Linked DNA regions of Ovis aries. The protein of the gene in region 3 interacts with the protein of the main gene of each other region in a pairwise test. Links are inferred from orthologs where the notes say so. Each region holds a gene or a part of one and is shown on either strand. Other genes may lie near its edges. The genes, in order: OTX1, PTPMT1 and RGS20.

The links.
Region 1: the proteins of RGS20 (region 3) and OTX1 interact in binary tests that used the Homo sapiens proteins (3 or more experiments, as listed by UniProt). The two-hybrid records come from large-scale screens. The link is inferred for Ovis aries from reciprocal best matches to the Homo sapiens genes RGS20 and OTX1.
Region 2: the proteins of RGS20 (region 3) and PTPMT1 interact in binary tests that used the Homo sapiens proteins (3 or more experiments, as listed by UniProt). The two-hybrid records come from large-scale screens. The link is inferred for Ovis aries from reciprocal best matches to the Homo sapiens genes RGS20 and PTPMT1.

Annotation. Positions count from the first base shown.
Region 1 is NC_056056.1:45,198,185-45,202,532, reverse strand, and holds part of OTX1 (homeobox protein OTX1), read left to right. Parts: intron 1-1,081; 5' UTR 1,082-1,192; coding exon 1,193-1,289; intron 1,290-2,256; coding exon 2,257-2,408; intron 2,409-3,004; exon of another isoform or gene 3,005-3,599; coding exon of another isoform or gene 3,600-3,653; coding exon 3,654-4,348. UniProt on the Homo sapiens protein: Probably plays a role in the development of the brain and the sense organs. Can bind to the BCD target sequence (BTS): 5'-TCTAATCCC-3'.
Region 2 is NC_056068.1:76,295,967-76,301,749, forward strand, and holds the start of PTPMT1 (phosphatidylglycerophosphatase and protein-tyrosine phosphatase 1), read left to right. Parts: upstream 1-2,479; 5' UTR 2,480-2,500; coding exon 2,501-2,872; intron 2,873-2,981; coding exon 2,982-3,062; intron 3,063-5,520; coding exon 5,521-5,712; intron 5,713-5,783. UniProt on the Homo sapiens protein: Lipid phosphatase which dephosphorylates phosphatidylglycerophosphate (PGP) to phosphatidylglycerol (PG).
Region 3 is NC_056062.1:34,890,163-34,896,121, reverse strand, and holds the start of RGS20 (regulator of G-protein signaling 20), read right to left. Parts: upstream 3,771-5,959; 5' UTR 3,697-3,770; coding exon 3,524-3,696; intron 1-3,523. UniProt on the Homo sapiens protein: Inhibits signal transduction by increasing the GTPase activity of G protein alpha subunits thereby driving them into their inactive GDP-bound form.

The DNA.
Region 1 (4,348 bases), on a different chromosome or scaffold from region 3:
CAGGTCCTCTGGGGTCTCCGTCCCACTCTTCCAGCGCTACTTCCTGACTCCTGATTGTAGCACCTCCGTTTGGGGGGCAACCTGGGGAAGCCAGGCGTCGACCTTCCTGCCCGGGGCAGCGCGAACTACGCCGCAGAGGCCTAGTTCTCTAGTCTGGATCGGGTCCTCGGGCTCTGGTTCAGCTAGTAGAATAATCCGGAAGCGCACCAGACCTATTGCACTGAGGCTTCCCAAATCCGCCAGACCCTTGGGGCGCTGGTCAGGTCACCTTTCGACCCCGGCCGGGACCCCATTGTCCGCAGCCAGGACTGGCTTGCTCTGGGGAAGCACGGCCTGCGGCTGTGGCGAGGTGCGGGTGATCCCGGGCGGCGTGTTTGAACCGCCACCTGTACGGTGGCGCCTTCTGGTCGCCTCGGCCGGACCTGGGCTCGAATCGGTGGTAGAAGTGTGGGTGGGATTCCGGGTAAGCAATCTCTCAGCGGCCAGGCACAGAGAGGTAAACTGGTAGAGCGGCTGTGGGACCCAGCCGCGGAGACTCTGGAAGGATGTACTCAGTGAGCAATGCGTCCCGGAGAGGCCCAGGTGCCGCGAGCCCTCCGCTGTGCCTCACCTTGGCTCTCTGGAGTCTACCTGTCCGTTCCACTTTCAAAAACATTTGAAACAAAACGAAACAACCCCTCATGCTCTGGGTCTCCTGCTGCCTTGAGGTCGAGGGGATGTTTGCTTGTGTGGTGTGATGCCCTCTCCCACCCGAACAGATTTTTGCCTAGTCTTGGGACCTAGCGCACTCTGCGTTTTGGGCTCTGACCTCCCAAGGTTGCCCCCGATTTTAACCTCTCCTCACTCCTAGCGTCGCCCTACGAGTGTCTGTCCCATTCCAAGCCCGAAAAGAAGTGATAATGATCCAGAAATTTTACTTTTCAAAGAATCTGTGGTCTTCGGGCTAAGGCCTTATAGAGCCGAGTTCTGCACAGATCCATAGCCTGCGTCACCTCCCCATCCTGTGACTCCTTCCTCCGGCAAGACCAGGAAGCAGTGGTGGCTTGGAATGACAGTTTCGGTGTGTCATTTGTCTCCATAGGCCGGGCCCCCAGACGCAACAGAGCTTGAAGGACTGCGCAGTGGGAGCCCCGCACTGCGCCTGGCCCCCGGCCCCCTGGATCCGTCGGGGCGCCTCCACCCAGCTGTTAGCATGATGTCTTACCTCAAACAACCCCCATATGGTATGAATGGGCTCGGTCTAGCCGGGCCAGCCATGGACCTCCTACACCCCTCCGTGGGCTATCCGGGTGAGCATCGACCCCTACACCCTCCTCCCTTAGAACTCTGGGGAATCACCAGCTCTGGGTTTGAGCACAAATTTTGTCCCAGATTAGGCCCAGGGAACCGGTTGCCTAGTCTCTTACATTGCAGGGAGCGCTGACTCGGAGGACAGATCGTGGTCGGGAAGTAGGGCCGGGGTGGCTAAGACATGAGAAGTAAGCCCTCCAGCCCGGCAACACCGGCAACTTCTCTCCAGTTGTCATCCCACCGCCAGCACAGAGCGCATTTACCCACGGATTCGTTTCCCATGGGTGGGGTGTGTGTGAGAGAGAGAGATTGAAAGAATCTATGCCTTTCCCCCTCAACACTGAACGAGGAATATGGACACTCGCTTGGCCCTGACAGGAAAGGCCGAGCTTGCCTTATGCAAAGCGGCTGGCAGAGGTAAGGCAGCGGGAGTCTCCCTCCATAATTAAATTGTCCTTTAGATGGGTGGCCTGCACCAACTTCTGCACTGTTGACGTGGACGACTTGAGCCAAATCCTGGCTCTCTTGTCTAGGTTCCGTTTCTTCACCTCCGCTTATTACCTCGGAAAGTGTTTTTCAGGACGTTCCAGCACACCCCTTCCCCACCCTCCAGTCAGGGAGAGTGTTGGCAGGGCGGGGGACGGGGGGGGGGGGCAGGGGGCGGGCAGCGAAGGAAGAAAGATTGTATAACTTCTCTTCCTTTCTTAACCTCTGAGAGGCAGGGAAGGGGTCAGCCCTGGCGTGTCGGAGACAATCAGGAGTGTCGGTGTGCCGATCAGGCACACCTGCAGTTTCTCCCACCTGTGGCCTGTCAGGCTCGCCTCCCTGGGGAGTTCTTTTCTCGTTCGGAGCTCGGCTTTCTTTTGCAACGACCTGGTCCAGGGCCTGCCAAGGTCCTGTCCAAATCCTCTAGCGCGAGTCCGCGTGGCCACCACTGACCCGACGCTCCCCCGCGTTTCCCTTCAGCCACCCCGCGGAAGCAGCGACGCGAGCGCACCACCTTCACGCGCTCTCAACTGGACGTGCTTGAGGCGCTCTTCGCCAAGACTCGCTACCCAGACATCTTCATGCGTGAGGAGGTGGCGCTCAAGATCAACCTGCCAGAGTCCAGAGTCCAGGTGCGCGCGCGGGGGATTTCCAGGGTCCGGGGAGGGGTGCTGGGGCTGGTTAGAGAGGGCCTGGTTGGGAAGTGGTCTGGTGTGGGGGCGGGCTTACAGGCTGGGCAGCCCCTCTCAGACTCCCCCTAGCGCTGGGCCCGGGCCTGGCAGAGGGGCCAAAATTAAAGGAACTATCTTAGAGCCCTGAATTGGGCCGTTGGCCCCGGGGCGCCTCTCCGAAGTCTCTTTTAGGATTGCAGGAGGCCAAGCCCGACACTTGTCCCCTGCCTCTTCGGCCACCCCAGGGCTTGGCAGTTTCCTACCGGGTCTTGAATTCTGCCTCTGCCCTGGCCTTGCATCCCGGGAATCCTGGAAATGAAAGAGTGGGGCTTGGCCAAAGCCTGGTCCTCTGTCTGGAAGTGTGCCCCACGGGTGGCGGCAGTGTGATTAGACCTTTTTCTTTGCTCTGAGAGGATGCTGAACGCAAAATCTGGCTACTAGCTTTGCTGTTTCTGGGTGTGTGTGTGTGTGACAGATGAAAGGGACCCGAAAATATTGATCAGGTCATAACTCAGAACTCTTCTCAAAGGCCTTTTATCTTGCCTTTTTCCTCCCAGAGGCTCGAGAGAACAGGAATGCCATGTCTTGTACCCGGGCCTTCCGAGAGGAGTGAGAACTTTATGACTGTCTTATTTGGTTCCCCACTTGGAGCCAAGAAGTTCAACGAAATTATGTTCAGGCTTCCTTCCGTAATCCCCCTCTAATTCAGCTTCCTGCTCCCACCCAAATTCTCTGCCGGCCCAGCACCAGGCCTCCTTGGGGCAGAGTGGCTCCGGCTTAGATTTGGTGGCTGCCCCCCATTCCGCGGCCTGCTCTGTGCCTCGCTGCAGTTTCCCGGGCTCTATTCACATAAGACAGGGCCTCCATGCATTCACAGGTCTGTTGGGAAGCGGCCAACAGCAGCAGTTTAGAGATGGCTGAACTTTTGGCTGGACAGACACAAATGTTCCGCCCTCCAACAGAGTTGAGCTGGGAGTGGGGGTGGGGAGGTGCACATCCCTACTTTGCCAGAGGAGGGTCTTTGAGCAGAAGGATGGGGGAGGGTGGAGCAGCGAATGCAGGGTCTGGCCGGGCCGGAGATGGGGAAGGGTGGAGGCGTCGATCGGAGAGGGATGGGGTTGCTAGGCCGGAGTTGGTCCAAGAGGCAGGGGAATGGCAAACTCTACTCGCCCCCTCACACGCTCTTCCCCACTCGGCCTGCCGCAGGTCTGGTTCAAGAACCGCCGCGCCAAATGCCGTCAGCAGCAGCAGAGCGGGAGTGGGACCAAGAGCCGCCCAGCAAAGAAAAAGTCGTCCCCGGTGCGGGAGAGCTCGGGCTCCGAAAGCAGCGGCCAGTTCACGCCGCCTGCTGTCTCCAGTTCCGCCTCGTCCTCCAGCTCCGCATCCAGCGCCTCAGCTAACCCCGCGGCGGCAGCGGCTGCAGGCCTGGGCGGGAACCCGGCGGTGGCGGTCCCGTCATCGTTGAGTACGCCTGCTGCTTCCTCCATCTGGAGTCCGGCCTCCATCTCGCCCGGCTCAGCGCCGGCTTCAGTGTCGATGCCCGAGCCTTTGGCTGCACCCAGCAACGCATCGTGTATGCAGCGCTCGGTAGCCGCAGGAGCTGCCTCGGCCGCAGCCTCCTATCCCATGTCCTACGGCCAGGGCGGCAGCTATGGCCAGGGCTACCCCGCGCCCTCCTCCTCCTACTTTGGCGGCGTGGACTGCAGCTCGTATTTAGCGCCCATGCACTCGCACCACCACCCGCACCAGCTCAGCCCTATGGCACCCTCCTCCATGGCGAGCCACCATCACCACCATCCCCACGCACACCACCCGCTGAGCCAGTCCTCAGGCCACCACCACCATCACCACCACCACCACCACCAGGGCTACGGCGGCTCGGGGCTCGCCTTCAACTCTGC
Region 2 (5,783 bases), on a different chromosome or scaffold from region 3:
TTGGAATATATAGGACAGTCGATAAATATTTTTTAATTGAATGGGAATCCATATATTGGAATACGATGTGCGTCTGAAAAGAATGAAGAAAATGTACATCTATCTGTATTGACATAATACTTATAAATATAAGCGGGAGATAGAACAATAGGTATAGGATGAGTCAATTTTTATAAAATATATATATTCTCAATGTAGCAAAAATAGGATTAGTGGATGAATGTGATAAAACAAACAATGAAATGAATTGTCGAGTTTGGATAGTGATTATATGAATTTTCCCTGTTGAATCTATTTTTTATTATGAAAAGTTTCATCACAAAATGTTAGAAAAAGATATGCATGTAAAAAATCAGTATTTCTGAAGAGTGGGTTTGGGGGTAAGGATGAAACTTTTAAGGTTTATATACTTTATATAGAGCAAAACTTGTAAACTATCTTTTGACACAGTAATTCCACTTTTAGGAACGTATCCTAATATAGTAGTTCTAAATATAAAAAATAGAAAAAATTCCATGTTGAAAATATTTTATAATACAAATGTGGAAATATCCTGCATGTCTAAGAATAGAATGATCACATTATGGTACAGTAACTAGGTTCGTTATAAATGATAAAAATAATGTGGTAATATTGAAAGTGCTCATGGGGACTTCCTTGGCGGCCCAGGGCTTGACTCCAGGCTTCCGCTGCAGTGAGGTGTGGGCTCCATCTCTGGTCAAGGAAATCAGGTCCCACACACCCCATGGCAGCAGTGAGGCATGGGCTCCATCTCTGGTCAAGGAAATCAGGTCCCACACACCCCATGGCAGCAGCCAAATCAAAGGAACGAGACAACAAACATGGTGGCAAAAATTTTACCAAAACGACACCAGTGATTTTTTAAATGGTGTACATAAATCACACGGCACTATTATACGACTCCAAAATCCCATGCCTGGATAGGCATCCAAAAAATTGAGAACTTAAGACCGCAGAAAAACTTGTATACAGAAACAGAAAGTAAACTCATGAGTGCCAAGACCTGGCGGGTTGAGGGAAAACAGGGCGTGATTATGCTAATTGGTGTAGAGTTTCTTTGGGGGATGATGAAAGTATTCTACAATTGATGGTGGTGATGGTTGTACAACTCTGCAAATATACTACAAGCCATTGAACTGTACACTTTAAATGAATAAGTTGTATGGTATGTGAATTATATCTCAATAAAACTATTATAAAAAATTTAATGATAACACATGAAAAGAAAAAAATGTGCTTGAGGTGGTAGGATTATGGGTGATTAAATTCTGCTTTCCTGTATGTTCCGGTCGTTATTCATATGTGTCATTTGTACAAGGAGAAAAGCTGTTTTAAAAAGCACAAGATGTGGAGAAGGAAATGGCAACCCACTCCAGTATTCTTGCCTGGAGAATGCCATGGACGGAGGAGGGCTACAGTCCACGGGTCACAAAGAGTGGGACATGATTGAGCAAGAGAAAAAAAAGCACAAGATGTACTTTTTCAGAGTGCTATTTAACTGTAAATAATCAGTGTGACAACTATTCCTCTTGCTTATTTGCAGGTTGTAGGTTTTATGTTTATCATAATATATATATATTTTAAACCTTTATTTAATTTTTGGTCTAGCCTCTGCAAGGCTGTGGGATCTTATTTCCCTGACAGGGATGGAACTGGTGCTGCTTGCACTGAGGGCACAGTCTTAACCACTAGATCGCCAGAAAACTACCTATGATGATATTTTTAATATTAATATATCTTCATAAATAGAACAGATATCACTTATATCTATTTTTCATTTGAAAAGACCCTGATGCTGGGAATGATTGAAGGTAGGAGGAGAAGGGGATGACAGAGGATGAGATGGTTGGATGGCATCACCGGCCCAATGGACATGAGTTTGAGTAAACTCTGGGGAGTTGGGGGTGGACAGGGAGGCCTGGCGGGCTGGAGTCCATGGGGTCGCAAAGAGTCGAACACAACTGAGCGACTGAACTCAACTGATATCTATTTTTCACTATGTACACACACACACATACTTACTGCAGTTTAGTTAGGAGGCGGGAGCCAGGACTCCAGGCAGATGTGGGGATGGGGTGGGAAGGGCCGGACGAACCCAGGTCCCCTGTTTGTCCAGGATCAGGCCCCTCTCCTTACTATCCCTTCGGCTCTGAGCTCTGGACTCCCTGGCCGAGAGCCTCTTCCCGGTCCTGTCCCGCCCTTCGGTGGGGTCAGCGTCCCCTCGCTCTGGCCGGTGGTTGGCGAAGGTGCCCCGGGCTCACCGGCCGGGGTCACAGTTGCACCCGCCCGCTGGAGTCACAGCCCCTCCCTCGGGAGGCGGGGGCTCACTAGCCACGGGCCGGGGTCGCAGTTTCCCACACGCGGCAGACTCGCCGCCTCGGGTCCGCGGGACGGGCCCTCCCCCGGCCCGGGGCCCCGTTTCCCGCCCGGGAAGCCCGGGCCCCTCCCCACGGCGGCCGGCGGCCCCTCCTCCCGAGCCATGGTGTGGGTCCCCGGGGCCCCCGGCGAGTCCCCGGGGGCCGGGCCCGAGGTCGCGACGCTCGAGAGGCCCGCGCCGGCCGGGTGGTCCTCGCTGGGGGCCGCGGCCGCCCCGCCGCCCCCCTGGCCCGGCCCGCGGACGCCCGCCTCCTGCCCGGCGGTGGGCGGGTCGCCGCTGCGCCGCGCCGGCTGGGCCGGGATGGCGGCCGGCTCGTTGCTGGAGGCCGGCCTGGCCCGGGTGCTCTACTACCCGACGCTGCTCTACACGCTGTTCCGCGGGAAGATGCCCGGCCGGGCGCACCGCGACTGGTACCACCGCATCGATTCCACCGTGCTGCTGGGCGCGCTGCCGCTGCGGAGCATGACGCGCCGGGTGAGCCGGGCGGGGCCGGGCCGGGCCGCGGCGGGGCCTGCGAGCCCGGCGAGCGCCGCCCGGGCCTCGGCCGCCCGCCCCTTTCTGAGCCCTCTCTTTGCCTCGGCAGCTGGTCCAGGACGAGAACGTGCGCGGGGTGATCACCATGAACGAGGAGTATGAGACGAGGTTTCTGTGCAACTCCTCCAAGGTGAGGCTCCGGGCCCGGCGCCCCGCCCGCCACCCCTCTACCACTCCGGGGTCTGGGCGAGCCCGGAGGGGGTTCGGGGGAGGCTGTGCTGTAGGTGACCTTGCCGCAGACACGAGCGTCCCAGGCTTGTTTTTTTTTTCTGTTTTTTTTTTGCCTCTGAGGAGCTGGTCCTGCGGCTAGAGGAGGGTAGAAACTAATTTGCGAATTAGAAATTGATGTGAAAGGTATTTCACAGTAGAGTTGCCCAACTTCGATTACTCCTTTCTGCGCACGTGTGTTCTCGGTTTTGGTTACTCACATCAGTAACTAGAACTTTAAAGGCAACGTTTCTCTTTGGGCTACGCCTCGCAGCCTGTGGAATATTAGTTCCCCAATCAGGGATCAAACCTGCGACCCCAGCAGTTGAAAGAGCAGAGTCCTGACCATCGGACCACGAGGGAAGTCCAGAAAGGCAACTTTTCTCTGCCTTGCTTTCATTCATTCAACACTTAATGAGCACTAAGTATGGATCGGACACTGTTCGATATTCAAGACGAAGGCCCTATAAACTGTAAAAAAGAAAGCTACCCCCAATCCCTGATAACTGTATCATAAAACTCTTTGTAAAAACTGCATAGAATTCATTTGGTTTTTATTTGAGGGAATTTCATTTATATGTTAGAGATGATAGTGGAACTCCAAAGCATGGTGATAAATGCAGTTCAAGCCTAAAACCTAGTTTTCGTTAGATGTGAGTGGTTTTTTGGTGGAACTCTCCATGATGGTTATTAGGTGTTGCCCTGTCTTTCTAGTGTTTGACTTCTATTAGCACTGCACAATTATCTTCCCTGTTCACTGTACTGATAGAGCCTAATGAACATGCAGTTATTTCAAACCATAGATCTTTTTTGAAATCTAAAAAAATAATTGTGACTCACATTTAAAATCTATTGATCAGTGATGGCATACATTTTTAAAGAATAGATAGCAGTTCCTTGGATTTCCCACAGAACCTCAGGAGTTATTAGCCAAAAAGCATTGTTAGCCTCAGTGTGGTCGGTCCTGTGGAGCAAGCCACAGAAAGTGCTTGGTCTCTGGGTGTGAGGCATCGAGATCTGCTATCTTCTCTCACTAGCCTAGAGAAAAGAAATCTCCAAGGCAATGGTTCTGATATTTTAATACGGCTAAACATTATCTAGTAGTAGTGGTGTTAGTCACTCAGTCATGCCCAACTCTTTGCAGTCCTATGGACTGTAGCCCACCGGGCTCCTCTGTCCATGGAATGCTCCAGGCAAGAAGACTGGAGTGGTTTGCCGTTCCCTTCTCCAGGGGATTTTCCTGACTGGGGGATTGAACCCCTGTCTCCTGCATGGCCACCTGATGCAAAGAACTGACTCATTGGAAAAGACCTGATGCTGGGAAAGGTTGAAGGCAGGAGGAGAAGGGGCCGCAGAGGGTGAGATGGCTGGTCGGCATCACTGACTCGATGGACATAAGTTTGGGAGTTGATGATGGACAGGGAATCCTGGCGTGCTGCAGACCATGGGGTCGCAGAGTCGGACACAACTGAGTGACTGAACTGAACTGACTGACTCCTGTATTGCAGCAGATTCATTACTGTCTGAGCCCCAGGGAAGCCCCAGGGAAGCATTATCCAGCTGTCTGTTAAGACAGCACATTCCTAGGTTCAACTCTCAGGAACTTTAAATCACTGCCTAAGAATGTGACTAAGTAGCAGGCTCCCCAAGTGTTTGATGTAATTGATGTGTAAAAACACACTGCCAGATTTTGCTGTTTTTGGTTAATTTCGTGAGCTGTGTAATGTATTGACCTTCATTCAGAGTCATGTGTCTGATTTGCTGAAGAGATTAATAACAAAAAGTCTACCTGAAGTCTTATGGCAAAAAATTAAAAAGTTGCCCAGTTTGCCAGAGGCCTTATTTCTTCTGTTGATTCTTTTCTTCCTTCTAAGCAGTAATATTGCACTAACAAAAGTAGGTGCGTTATTTAAATTTTAAAATAACTCTTATTTTCTACCACATACCCCTCTCCAAAAAAGTGGTAAAAAAGAGAAGACTTATGGGCAGAGAAATAGAAGGCCTTGCAACCTTCTAACCTAACCCTGCAGCTGGATCACTGCACAAGCGCCAAAGTCACGCAAAAAAAACTTGACGCAGCTCTTGTAGATGAATTTTATACAGTTTGTGTTTTGTTGCTAAAGATTCAAATACTAAGAATGCTTTAAAGCTTGGGCATAATTCTAACTCAGAAGCATTGCTGTGTGATGAAAGACCATGTAAGTCAGTCATTTTAAAGACATTTCTGAAAGAAGTTTCTTTTTAGGCAAGCATATACCGCATATATTACCATTCACCACGAACCTTCCTTGCTGCTTTGCTGTCTCACAGGAGTCCCTCTTCCTGCCACTCACATCAGGCGTTTTTCATTTTCTTTTCTGTGCTGGCGGACCTGGCCCCAGGAGTGGGAGAAGGCAGGAGTGGAGCAGTTGCGGCTCAGCACGGTCGACATGACTGGGGTCCCAACCCTGGCTAACCTCCAGAAAGGAGTCCAGTTTGCCATCAAGTACCACTCACTGGGCCAGTCTGTCTACGTGCACTGCAAGGCTGGGCGTTCCAGGAGTGCCACTATGGTGGCTGCGTATCTCATTCAGGTAGGAGAGGGCCTTCTGGACTGGTGCCCCCCGCCCCACCTTGTTTCTAAAAGCAATCTGATTTTTATTTT
Region 3 (5,959 bases):
TTGGACGGAGGAGCCTGGTAGGCTGCAGTCCATGGGGTCGCAAAGAGTTGGACACGACTGAGCGACTTCACTTTCACTTTTTACTTTCATGCATTGGAGAAGGAAATGGCAACCCACTCCAGTGTTCTTGCCTGGAGAATCCCAGGGGCGATGGAGCCTGGTGGGCTGCCTTCTATGGGGTCGCACAGAGTCGGACACGACTGAAGCGACTTAGCAGCAGCAGCAGCAGCAGCAGCAGCAGCAGCAGCAGCAGCAGCAGCAGCACTGTAGGCCACCGGGCTCCTCTGTCTGTGGCATTCTCCAGGCATGAATACTGGAGTGGGTAGCCATTCCCTTTTTTCGGGGATCTTCCCAACCCAGGGATTGAACCTGCATCTCCTGCATTGCAGGGGGATTCTTTACCACTGAGCCACCAGGGAAGATTCCCATAGTTTTGGTCTTAATGCCACACCACTGACCTGGCTTCTGTGAGCCAAAACTGAGCAGCAGGAGAACTCTTTACACCTTTCCAAGGACGACACCACACGCTTTGTTATGGTCCCCATAAAAGGAACACAATGTAGCTATGATCACTGAGAACTCAGAGTTCCTGGGTCCGGAGCCTGGGGAACCCTCCTCCTTCTGCTCACCTGGAATCACCTGCAGGCGGCCCTGAGGATTGCTCACCAAGGATGGAGGATGTAACCACAACAGACTTCCAGATGAGCCTTTCCTTAGGCAAGTTTATGAGCCTCTCAGTTGTTAATTATGACAGAATTCTTTTCACAGGGCCTTCACAAAGGGAAGAACCAACTCTGTCCTTGGGAAACTCGCTCTTTCACAACTGGAGGCAGGACAGGATAACTTTGTCTTCTGAATACATCGATATATATGTATATGGTGCTGGATATTGGAAGCCTAATTTCTTTCTTGCTGAGAGATTTTTCCTTTCTTCTTTCTGCTCCCTGCTTTTGCCATAAAAACTCCATTGTCTTGGTAGGTACCTTTGGGGGCCTTGGAGTTTCTCTCTCTCCTTTCAGTGTGTAATGTCTCACAGCAAGGGCTTTGATGGGCTTCTCAAGGGGTCATACACCTGGACCAGGAGAGCACCTAAAAGTCTGCACTCTCAGAGGGACAGCAATTAAAAGGACGTGAAAAATAATTTTATGTGGAAAATTTTCTGGTCTAAGCTCTGATCACTTTTATTACTGGGAAAGAATGCATACATGTGTATGCATCTATCTGTACTGACAGATGGATGGGTAGATAACTGCTCACCAGGGTGGCTGTAAAGTTTCCTCTCTCTCACTTTTATCACTAAAAAGAGCACCTGGTCCAGGGAGCACCCCCTCTCCCACTCGGTCTCTGTGCTCTGAATGGAAGGAAGCAGAAATCCTGGTGGAGAAAAAATAATCCCAATGAAGTCAAGTTCATAAGTGTGTGTCTGTCTGTGTGCCTGTGTAGGTGGAGAGATGTTAATTTATTTTGTAGTAAATTAGCAGTTTTGTTGGGTTCTTTGGGCAGAATGCACAGATAAATCACTACTGAGGAGGCTGGATTCCAGCCTGGGAAATTATAGCCTGCTTCTAAAGCACAGCCAGAATCTATTGACTTAGTAACGAAGTCAGTGTCAGAAAAAACATGGGTTTGAATCACCACTGAGCTGACTGCACACATGTAACAGTGTTTTTTACAAACATGCTTTCTCATCTCTAAAAAAGGTTTGACCACCTCAGCACTTCTGACCTAACGAAATTGGTTAAGAATCCAAATAAAAAAGAATAGCAAGAAGAACCACAATAGACAACGCATTTATGCAACACAAATGAATTGTTATTTTCAGTCTAACCTGCTTTTGGAAGGATTTTTTTTACACATTTAATTCTGAAATTATTATAGATTCACTGGAAGTTTCACAAAAGAATGTACACACAGTGGTCCCACACACTCTTCACACAGTTCCACCCAATGGAAACTGCATAAATTGTACAACATCAAAGCCAGGAGACACACTGGTATAATTCTAAGAGCTCATTCAGATTTCATAAGTTTGTATGCACCCGTGTGTGTATGTGTGTGTGTGGTGGAGGGGTTGCCATTTTCTTCTCCAGGGGATCTTCCTGACCCAGGAATGGAACCCACATCTTCTGCGCTGGCAGGTGAATTCTTTACCACTAAGTCACCTGGGAAGCCCGACAGGTGAGTATAGTTCTATGCAATTTTAACACATGAGAAGGTTTGTGTAACCACTGAAATCAAGTGTAGCTTCCTATTGAACCACTGAAATCAAGTACCTTCCTATTGAAAAAGCTTCCCAATGACTTAACAAACAAACAAACAACTTCTCCTTGTGCCAGTTGGTTAAAATAAGATTGGGGAGGAACTTCCTTGGTTGTCCAATGGTTAAAACTCCATGCTACCAAGGTTCCATTCCTGGTCTGGGAACTTAGACCCCATATGCTGCATGGTGCAGTCAAAAGATAAAACAAAAAAACTATGGGGAAAGGACAGATCTAGATAATTAGAATCTGCAAATACGTGATTATTATGAGGATATGAGCGAAGGCACAGGCACAGTTTCTAGTGCTGCAGAATCTGGACAGGTCTGCGGTTGTAGAATTTATCAGCATTTACTTCTGAGCTCTGATCATTGGTCACAGGCATTAACACATGTCCATCCCCCTCCATACTAAATAGCCTTTTAAGAGGTGTTTCTATTAATAGTTAAGAGGATCGACAGACTTAAACTGTACTTTCTGCAAAGATACACACAACGCTGAATAGGAAAATGGTTACTCTTCGGGGAAATCACATTGTCTACTGATAGAAATTCATGCTTAAGAAATTCATCTAGGCAACTATGACTTTAGGAAAAACACCCTTAGTTCCTAAATGGTCTTTCATGCCTGTATTAGTTTTACCAATTTTTTTTTCCCTCAAGCAATTTTGGTGGAAAGCAATCTATACTTTTTCATTGGTGGTGTTTTAGTCACTCAGTTGTGTTCAACTCTTGCAACCCCACGGACTATAGCCTGCCAGGCTCCTCTGTCGATGGGATTTTCCAGGCAAGAATACTGGAGTGGGTTGCGGGTTCTTTCTCCAGGGGATCTCCCCAACCCAGGGACTGAACCCGGATATCTTATATCTCCTGCATTGCAGGTGGATCCTTTACTGACTGAGCCACAAGGGAAGCCCATTTTTTTTCATTACTATATGGGATATAACTTTTATGTCAGAATATCTAAGCATTGATAGTAGCCATAGAAATCTATGGCTAGGTTTTCTGCTTTTTAAGACATTACTTCCTGAAACAAACAAAATGTAGTCATTTGCTGTTGTAAAGGGAAGCTGTTTATGTTGGAGAAAACTGGAAGAATCAGGTTATTATCAAAGTCCTAGTTTTTCTCTTGGGTTTAGTTTGGAAGCCTTTTTGATACATCTTCAATAAGGTAAAGTGAGCGCTGACACTAAAGCTTTCCTATGGTTTTGTATTCTTTCTGGATAAACCCTTTCCTTGCCAAGAACGGTCACGGACTGGGGAGATGGTCTTACCTTGACATTGTGCGTGGCTGTGGCACATCCTTCATTTTCCACGGTTTGGTGAACATTCACATTATATGGCTCAGCCCACGGCAGAGGCAGAAATCGTATCCTCCTCGATGGTCTGGAGAAATGTTTCTGGTGGCCCTGTTGGTTGTCTTGGGAAAGCCTGGGCATGTTTTTACAATAAAGCCTCAATCGAATCCTGTAGCTTGATTTTAACGGTACCAGCCCAGGGTCCACTCTATTTCTCTTCCTTTGGCTGGTGCTGGGCCATCGCTTCGTCTGCTGGGGGCCTCCCTGTAAAGTCGCATCCCTCGAAGCAAGAGGATTATCTGTGTTGTGGGTCAGCAGTTTATCCACAGTCCGTGGGCTCTATTCCAGGATGAGAGTCTCGGTATGTTCTGACTGCCCTCTACAGGTTGCAAGTGAAGTGAAAGTGAAGTTGCTCAGTTGTGTCAGACTCTTTGTGACCCCATGGACTGTAGCCTATCAGGCTCCTCAGCTCTACAGGTAGCAATGTACTCCTACTTCAAATTTAATGCTAAATCAAAACTGAAAGAAATGATTCAAGTGATATATTGCTTAGTATATCGTGATAAAGGAAATAAATCATGTGGTAATATTCTGCATTTGTAGTGTGTGATATGTGAAAAATTTGGACTATACTCTCGAGAGGCAGAGGAGCCATTTTATCTCAGTCTCGTAAAAGGTCCTTCTAGCAGCAGTCAGCTTTGTGGCTGGAAATGCTTGCTAAACTCATAACCACACTTCACTTCAAAGATTATTACTTTTTATTTATGTCTTGTAGAATTAATTGAGGACTTCCTTGGTGGCTCAGATGGTAAAGAATCCACCTGCAGTGCAGGAGACCTGGGTTTGATTTCTAGGTTGGGAAGATCCCCTGGAGGTGGTCATGGAAAACCACTCCACTGTTCTTTCTGGAGAATCCCCATGGACAGAGGAACCTAGTGGGCCACTGTCCATGGGGTCACAAAGAGTTGGACACGACTGAGTGACTAAGCACAGCACAGCACAGAATTAATTGAAGTAATTTCCTTGTGCGATAGTCATCTAACCATGAAGTCAAAACTTGGCTTCTACATCATACTTCCTTTTTGTAAAGTGCTTTATAAATATCAGATTATTGGACTTTCCCTGGTGGTCCAGTGGTTAAGTCTCTGCGCTTCCACTGCAGGGGGCCTGGGTTTGATCCTTGGTCAAAGGTATCTAAGGCCCAGGTGGCTTCTGCTGGGTCTGGAGGAGTACAGAGGTAAGGACCCCAGGTATGCATTGCTGGGGACTATGAACTGAAAGAACTTCCTTTCATAACATAGTCCCAGGCCCCTAAAATGGATATATAAAACTAACATAAGTTGGACCACACATCATGTTAAAAAATTAACTTGAAATCAATCATAGACCCAAGTTTAAGAGTTAAGATTATAAAACTTTTAAAAGGAAACTTAGGAGAAAATATTTGTGATCTCAGATGAGGCAAAGCCTTCTTAGACATGATACCAAAAAGCACAAGTGACAAAAAAAAACAAAACAAAACAGGCAAACTGGATTTCATCAAAATGAAAACCTTTTGTTTTTCAAAGGACATCATCAAAAGAGTGAAAAGACACCCACAAAATAGGGTAAAATATGGCAAATCATAAATACATAATAAGGGACTTATATCCAGAATATATAAAGAGCTCTTAAAAAAAAACTAGCAATGGGTGAATTATGTAAACAGATGTTTCTCAGAAGAAGACAGGCAAATGGCCAAAAAGCATATGAAAAGATGCTCAGCATCTTTGACTTCCAAGTCAAAATCACCAAGGAGATACCAGTAGGTAGGCTTTAATCAAAAAGACAGACAATGACAAGCTTTAGTGAGGATGTCAAGCACTGGCACCCTCACACACTGCTGGGGTGAATGTAAAGTGATACCTTCCCTTTGGAAAACAGGGTTATCATTCAATGTAGCAGTTCCCTTGTAGATATCCGCTGAAGCCAGAGAAGTGAAACATGTTTACCAAACACTTGCATGCAAGTGTCCAGTACTGTAAATCAACCCACATGCCCATCAACTAGTGGAAGATAGACAAAGGTATATCCGCACAATGGAACATTTATTCAGCTGTAAAAAGGAATGAAGTACTGATATGTATTGACACACGAATGAGCCCTGAACATATACGAAGTGAGAGAAGCCAATCTCTAAAGATCACGTATTGTATAATGCCCCTCCTAAGATATCCAGAATCGGCCACTCCTTAGATACATAAAGTAGAGGGGCGGCTGCCTAGGGCAGGGGGGTTTGGGGAGAGATGGAGAATGATGGCTAAAGAGTAAGAGGTTTCTCTTTGGGGCGATGAGAATGTTATAACACTGACTGCAGTGATGGTTGCCCAACTCTGAGAATACAGTAAAAATCTGACATTTGGGA